Zea mays: one gene and its partner. The protein of the gene in region 1 interacts with the protein of each later gene in a biochemical or structural test. Links are inferred from orthologs where the notes say so. Each region holds a gene or a part of one and is shown on either strand. Other genes may lie near its edges.

Region 1 (3,827 bases):
TTGAGCTTGTTGTCTACACCGACTCTGATTGGGCTGGGTGCCTGGACACCTGTCGGTCCACCTTCGGCTACACGGTGTTCCTTGGGGATAACCTCTTCTCTTGGTCCTCCAAGCGGTAGCCCGGGATTCCCACTCTAGTGTTAAGGCCGAGTACCGGGCTGTTGCTAATGGTGTGGTTGAGGCGTGCTGGCTACGCTAGCTCCTTCTGGAGCTTTACAACCCCCTCTTCAGGAGCACACTTATCTACCGCGACAACGTCAGCACCATCAATCTCTTTATCAACCCCCGTCCAACATCAGCGAATGAATCATGTTGAGATCTATCTTCACTTCGTCCGTGAGCACGTGGCCGTCAAGGATGTTCGTGTTCATCATGTCACGACGCACTCGCAGTTTGTCGACATTTTCACTAAGGGTCTTCCCTTGTTCTTGGATTTTCGATCCAGTCAACATTTGTCGTGGCTAGAGTTTCGAATGCAGGGGGTGTTAGATTATGTGTGTGTTATGGGCCTAGAGCCCAGCCAATTAGGGGTAGACTATATGTACCTCTTGTAACACTGAAGCCCATCTATAGATTAGGGTTTTCCCACACACTGTAATATGTACCTTGTAAGCTATTTGTTAAGCACTGTTCTTTATTTGCTGATTATTTACTATAAATCCTTTTATTTTTAGGCAATGGGCCCTATTCAAGTTAGATATGCTGATGGTGAAAGGGAACGACATGGTAATGCTATGATCTTTAGTAGTTTACCTATTAATGACCTGTGTATGTTGTATATTATACTGGTTTTGAGGCAACCTTAACATGCCTTGCTTTATATGCACATTTTTTTGAAAATTCTATGATTATTATTTTATTTAAACCATATGTTCAAAAGGTGCATATTCAACACTAGTTCTTTTTTCTCGACTATGCTGGAGAGATGCACATTGCATTAATAATAAGAGAGTACAAAACACCCTCTACACCCATAGTCCCACACACAAATACCTCTACATAGTGCCAGCTTCTCTAGATTTTGGCACCGTATCTCTACATGTCACTTATCACATTGTTTGTTATAGCATACTAGTATGCAAAGACAACGAAATGGGTCTCTAGCTGAGTTGGTTAGGTGATCTGAGCAGTACTCTTTAGGTCTTGAGTTTGACTCCCCGTGGGAGCGAATTTCAGGCTGGATTAAAAATAATCCCCACGTCTGTTCTACACTAAAGCATAGGTCTAAGGTTTGGCCTTGGCCGTGGTCGTTCTCATAGGCTACGGTGTCACTGTGTATGGGTGGGGCATGGGTTTGGGGGTTTTCTTGACCTTGTATGAGAGGCTCTTCTTAATACAATGCCTGGGGTTGTCTTACCCCTGAGTTTTTTAGTATGCAGTGGCAAATTTATTGTGCATTCCCAATCTTGTTTTTACATTGCACAGTTACATGTATGTGTTCCTTGATCAATTTACATGTGACTTTTATTCTGATTCTGCATTTTTTTCTTTATCTGAAAACACTATTCATTCAAGGATTCTTTATTATTTTGTTCTTGTAATCTGAGTTATGTAATCATATTTAGAAAGCAAACTAAGCTTGGTTCGTTAAAATAGTTGTTTTTCTTCAGATCTTTTGTTTGTGGTACTTATTGGGCAATCTCATCAGTTTCTGTGACAAATTTACTAGGGGCCATCGAGCACAAATTATTTGTTGCGTCCCTCAATAAGCAAGCAACTCCAAAGGAGATTGAAGAGGTAAGTAGGTTGAATTTCTTATTTTCCTTTCTGTTCCTTGATGATTTCGCGATTTGCTTATCTGAGAGGGTAGTATAGATTTAGAAAGTACTGCTCGGTGTCAATAATCAACTGTGATGCTGTACTCTTATCTGCATTTGAGGACATGATTAACACAAATTTAGTAGCTTGCTTTTCCAAGGATTGATGATAAAGGCATACAATTTTCAGATATTTGCCCCATATGGTCATGTGGAAGATGTTTACATTATGAGAGATAGCGTGAAGCAGAGCCGAGGTTTGTGAATACGTGTTTGCTTTAGTTATACTGTTCCATTGCAACCTTTTGTTTTAACTTGTAATATATGTAATATAAAGGTTGTGGCTTTGTCAAATTCTCATCAAAAGAGGCAGCAGTGGAAGCTATGAATGCCCTTAGTGGGACTTACACAATGAGGGTAAATTTCTCTGCCAACTGCCATATTGTGTTTAGCTTTCTGGATACTTATGATGTATTTGTTTCTGTATTAGGGGTGCGAGCAACCATTAATCATTAGATTTGCTGATCCTAAGAGGCCTAGACCTGGAGAATCAAGGTGATTAACAACTGTGACTGTCTTTGTTGCATATCATATGCTATTTTATTTACTCAAGATTAAGTATAATCATTTTTTTGATGAAACAAGTATAATAATTACCATTCCTATTTTCTGCTTTACCTTCCTGGTTAGGGGTCGCCCTGCATTTGGAGGTCCTGGTTTCAGTCCTCGATCGGATGCAGCACTTGTTATCAGGTGTCAGTTCACTACTTATTCAGTATTTTTTCTCAAGAACATTTAAATTAAGATGTTAATGAGATGAAACTGGCATGGTCCCCTCGCACACGAGTTGCTGATGCTAAGGGTGTCTACTGAAGTGCATTTGTCGAAACGAAATATTAACTCCGGAATAACACAATAGCTCTGAAATAATCTGCAAAAGATGTTTAGTGCGTGTTTGTTTCAGTTTAAATGCAGATTCTGATCGCCAGAAGCTGTTGTGGACTGCCAAACACCCAACTTTTTAGCCTGCTTCTATGGGAATCACTTTGGTGAAAATCATCTAAAATCAGCGTGAACACACAATCGGTCAAGTCGTCACGATAGGAGGAATCTGTCACTTCTTAGACCTAAACCCTATGGACCCCTTCATCTTTCTCCGACGTAATCCCCACGATACTCAGATTCTCCCCACAGCCAGATTCTCCCTACAGACAAATTCTCAGCAAAGCTCGTCAGAAAAAAACTGAACCAAACAAGCCCTTAGAGTAGGGATGGATAAGGTATTATGATATATAGACAACAATGAAATGACTGAAAGTGAAACAAGTGCTAGCTTCTGTGTATTTTCTACCTTACCTAATCTGTCTAAGAATCAATTGAACTAATTTCTTAATCATATCTTCTGCTCCTTTTTTATATATGTCATCTAAGTCAAGCTATTTGTTTATCTTCGAACTAATTAGCTTGTCCTAAAGGTCTAAATGGCTAAACATATTATATTTACATTTTTTTTTCAAAAACGTAGGAGAACTGTGTATCTTTATAGATAAGATAGAAGAAAGGGTCTTACAAGTGAGGTACAAGTTAGGGACACCTGCACCCACACGCACACACGGACAAACAAAACAAACAGCAGATTAAAACAAAAACAATCAATTATGGCTCGACCTGACCTCCTTAAGGGCATCAGCTAGTCCTAAGACACCTAGCTGCTTTGCCCCAGCCATCACCCAACAGGATAATTCTTTTAGGAAGCTACTTTTCATCTTTCCGAAGGAGGGTGACTCTATCAAAAACAACCTGGTTCTTCTGCAGCCATAGACACCAAGCCCCGAGTATGACAGCGCTGTTAAGGCCCTTCTTCATGTCTTTGTGACTCCTAGAGCTCACTTCTCTCCACCAATGTGCAAAGGTGGAGGCCTTCGAGACTGGAGTGAGATGCCCTAAGCCAAAGGGGGACAAGATGTTGTACTAAAACTGCCGAGCAAAGACACGAGACGTCAGGAAATATTGAATTGTTTCTTTGTCTTCATCACAAGGAGGACAAGCTTCAGGATATGGAAGCCCGTT
Region 2 (3,827 bases), on another chromosome or scaffold:
CAAGAAACTGTGCTGTCTTATTAATTTTGTCTATTTTAGTTTGTTGATTATGACAATCTGTAGCATAATTATCACTTTAATCAACATCCATCCACTTCTATTATTTTCATCCACTTGGGGTATAATACAATTTTATTTGTGGATAAAGTGGACCCCTACAGGCCGTCGACTTATCACTGGATCACAAAGTGGTGAATTTACGCTATGGAATGGGCAATCTTTTAACTTTGAAATGATACTTCAGGTATTCCACATTAATTATTTTGGACTTACTAATATGTGATAGTTTTAACTTAGTTTTTGGAGAAATCTGACAATCAGGCTCATGATCTACCTGTGAGATCAATGGTTTGGAGTCACAATGAAAACTGGATGGTGACGGGAGATGATGGTGGTGCAATCAAGTACATGTCCCTTCGCTTTCGTACCTTCAAGAAAAATCGTCATTTTGAACTGTACATTGTTTAACTCTTCAGCTGAACCTTTTGAATTCTTCTCCAGGTATTGGCAAAGTAACATGAACAACGTCAAAGTGAATAAAACAGCTCATAGAGAATCAGTTCGTGGTTTAAGGTGATGGCTGTATGATGCACTTTTTATTGTTTGCTACAAAGTTCATGTTCAATGTGTGCTGAAACATGTCCTTCAAACAGTTTTTCCAGGACAGACTTAAAATTCTGCTCCTGCTCCGATGACCGAACAGTGAAGGTTTGGGACTTCGCAAGATGCCAAGAGGAAAAATCATTAACTGGTAATGTTGCTAAAATTTTCTTGCAAATATTAATCTGGCATACAGCTGATTATTTGAAGTTATTATGTGATATTACGCGAAAGGGCCTTTAGCTGTGTTGGTTAGGTGGTCTGAGTAGCACTTCTCAGGTCTTGAGTTTGACTCCCCGTGTGAGCGAATTTTAGGTTGAGGTTAAAAAAACCCTCTCGTCTGTCCCACGCTAAAGCACAGGCCTAAGGCTCGGCCCTGGTCATGGACTCGCGGTCGTTCTCACATGGGCTACGGTGCCGCGGTGTATGGGTGGGCTACGGTGCCGCTGCGTATGGGTGGGGTAGGGGTTCGGGGTTTTCTCGACCTGCGTGAGAAGATCTTCTTAATGTAATACCTGGGGGCTGTCTTACCCCGTGGGTCGAGTTTTTATTATGTGATATTACTTTGTTTTTTCATCAAATAACCTGAATTTCCCTTCAACTCAGCCAGGCCACGGTTGGGATGTTAAAACTGTCGATTGGCATCCTACAAAGTCTTTACTGGTTTCAGGTTAGTATATGTTTGTTCTTGTTTAATGAGTTTATTCATGCGGGACTTATTCAATTCTGTGTCCATAGGTGGCAAAGACTATCTTGTGAAACTTTGGGATGCAAAAAGTGGCAGAGAGCTGAGCTCATTGTCGGTATTCCTGCCACTTCCATATTTTGTTAATTCTTGAAGATCTGTGTTACATTATGATTTATATCTGCAGCCATGGTCATAAAAATATTGTGCATTGCGTGAAGTGGAATCAGAATGGGAACTGGGTACTGACTGCCTCGAAGGATCAGATTATTAAGGTCTGTTGCTTGTTCTTTTGTACTTTGGTCTGTTTTTCTTGTCTTCAAAGAACTGATGGCAGTGTACACGCTATAACCAAAATTCTAGTGCTGTCTATGGAGATGGGCCAATCCATCCTTGTGAGCAAATGATGGCAGTAAATTATTAACTTTTGGTACGTTTGCTAATGCTATCACTAATTCGTTTTGCAGCTGTATGATATTAGATCCATGAAAGAGCTGCAATCCTTCCGTGGGCACACCAAGGACGTCACTGGTTAGATAGCTGTTCCAATATCAAGATTTTTATAATTTATATACCCCTTCACATATTTTAAGCTTCAAAAATTGACACAAGTTTTGGATGTACTAGTTCATTTGTTCATTGTAACCATACATTCTATGATTGTTAGAACAGTGGCTAAAAAATTTCTAGAAAGGTATGGTGCCCACACTTGTTTGCCAAGGTTGTACTGAATATGTATTCGGTTACTTCATTTTTACAGCATTGGCGTGGCACCCATTTCATGAAGAATATTTTGTTAGTGGGAGCTTTGATGGAGCTATATTTCATTGGTTAGTCGGGTAAGGTATCCATAGCATAATTGAAATTACTGATCTTTGTCACCCTTGGAATTTGCTACTTTGTGCTAAGTTATTCAATTCTTTTCACCCTCCAAGATCGACGTACAACTTTTTATGTCTTTTGTTGTCTGAAAATAATGTCTCAAGTCTCAACTTGATGAGCAAGCTGTTTCATTTTTTTGTCAGCCATGAAGCTCCACAGATTGAAATAAGTAATGCACATGACAGTAGTGTCTGGGATCTTTCGTGGCATCCTGTAGGCTATCTACTTTGCAGGTACTTGGCTTGCTTTTGAATTTTGTATTGTAACACTTTATGACATGTTTGCTTATTTTACTGTAATGCATACATAATCTGAATTTATTTTCAATACAATTTGTTTCATTTGTTTAATGCTTTAGTTGTATGTGAACTCATTAAAAATCAAATATTTGATTTATTTTGTAGTGGAGGCAATGATCACGCTACAAAGTTCTGGTGTAGAAACAGGCCTGGTGATCTTACCCGTGATAGATACAACAGTGGCCAAATGCAAGGTTGCCTTTATTTGAATTTAGCTCGTTATTTCATCTCATTTGTCCTGTTTTGGTCATAAAACAATAACATATTAGACATATACTCTTGCACTTGCATGTACATGTATAATTGTATACACCCCCTTCCAATATCACTATTTAGTTCGTCTATTACTTGCTTCACACAGACAGGTGTTTAATGGTGTTTATGTGCTGCCTTGTGACCTTTTCCTTCCAAAGAAGGAATTCTTAATGCATAGATTATGACTTTTTTCAGGTTTTGGTGACCAACATGCTGCTTTTGGTGCTCGTGGTATGGGTGGATTCCAGATGCCTGAACCTCCAATAACGCCTGGACCATTTGCTCCTGGATTGTCACGCAATGAAGGTACCATCCCTGGCATTGGGGTTGCAATGACCTTGGCAGGCCAGTCTTTTGATGGATCTGATGGAGAGCAGAGGCCATCTATTCCGGGTCTTCCACCTGGGCAACCCCCGCTGCCACCAGGTCCTCATCCATCACTTCTTGGGCAGCAACAACAGTATCAACAGATACCTCAGCAGCAACATCCCCAGTTTTCGCAGCCACCACCTCCGAACATGCCCCAACTGCAGGCACCAGCTCACATGCTTTCACATTCACAAGGATCTCGGCCTACTCTTCCCCAGCTTCCACCAATGGGTGGACCATCAGTGCCATCACAAGTGAACCCACCGCTTCCGCCTATGCCTCACCCAACGGTACTGTTCATTGATACCTTTACAACGTTGTTAAACTGAGGGAGGTACAACTGTTTACTTAGCATGTTCTGTCTTTCTATTTATCTGAGCTGATAAGTGATAATCGAAAACCAAATGCCTCGTCTGCAAACCTTGCAAGTTTGCATCAAAAGACCGTTTTCAGTGAACTTGTTTTTTTTTCTCAAAGAAAAAAAAACTCCAATTGACCTTCAAAATTGTTAGCATGTCTGCTTTAGTTTGAGATAAGCATGAATATGTATGAATTTGATATGACACATGAATACATCTGAGTTTAAGGTGAAGAATTGTTAGAATACCCGTTTAGGGTTTGGGTCTTCCCCGTGTAATGACCATCTCACCCCTCTGTAATGGGCCTGGCCCAGTTTACTCAGCCTATTAATACATCACCCAACCCCTGTTAGGGTTAGGGTTCACATTCCAACATGG

What was found.
Region 2: the proteins of Flowering time control protein FCA-like (region 1) and WD repeat-containing protein 33 form a complex in vitro, tested with the Arabidopsis thaliana proteins (3 studies listed by BioGRID). The link is inferred for Zea mays from reciprocal best matches to the Arabidopsis thaliana genes FCA and FY.

Annotation. Positions count from the first base shown.
Region 1 is NC_050097.1:167,394,822-167,398,648, forward strand, and holds part of Flowering time control protein FCA-like, read left to right. Parts: intron 1-674; coding exon 675-726; intron 727-1,669; coding exon 1,670-1,737; intron 1,738-1,947; coding exon 1,948-2,014; intron 2,015-2,094; coding exon 2,095-2,174; intron 2,175-2,247; coding exon 2,248-2,312; intron 2,313-2,447; coding exon 2,448-2,510; intron 2,511-3,827. UniProt on the Arabidopsis thaliana protein: Plays a major role in the promotion of the transition of the vegetative meristem to reproductive development. Plays a role in the regulation of flowering time in the autonomous flowering pathway by decreasing FLOWERING LOCUS C mRNA levels.
Region 2 is NC_050098.1:151,290,933-151,294,759, forward strand, and holds part of WD repeat-containing protein 33, read left to right. Parts: intron 1-148; coding exon 149-244; intron 245-321; coding exon 322-404; intron 405-501; coding exon 502-573; intron 574-653; coding exon 654-751; intron 752-1,210; coding exon 1,211-1,270; intron 1,271-1,338; coding exon 1,339-1,399; intron 1,400-1,472; coding exon 1,473-1,560; intron 1,561-1,752; coding exon 1,753-1,816; intron 1,817-2,045; coding exon 2,046-2,124; intron 2,125-2,310; coding exon 2,311-2,400; intron 2,401-2,571; coding exon 2,572-2,660; intron 2,661-2,916; coding exon 2,917-3,380; intron 3,381-3,827.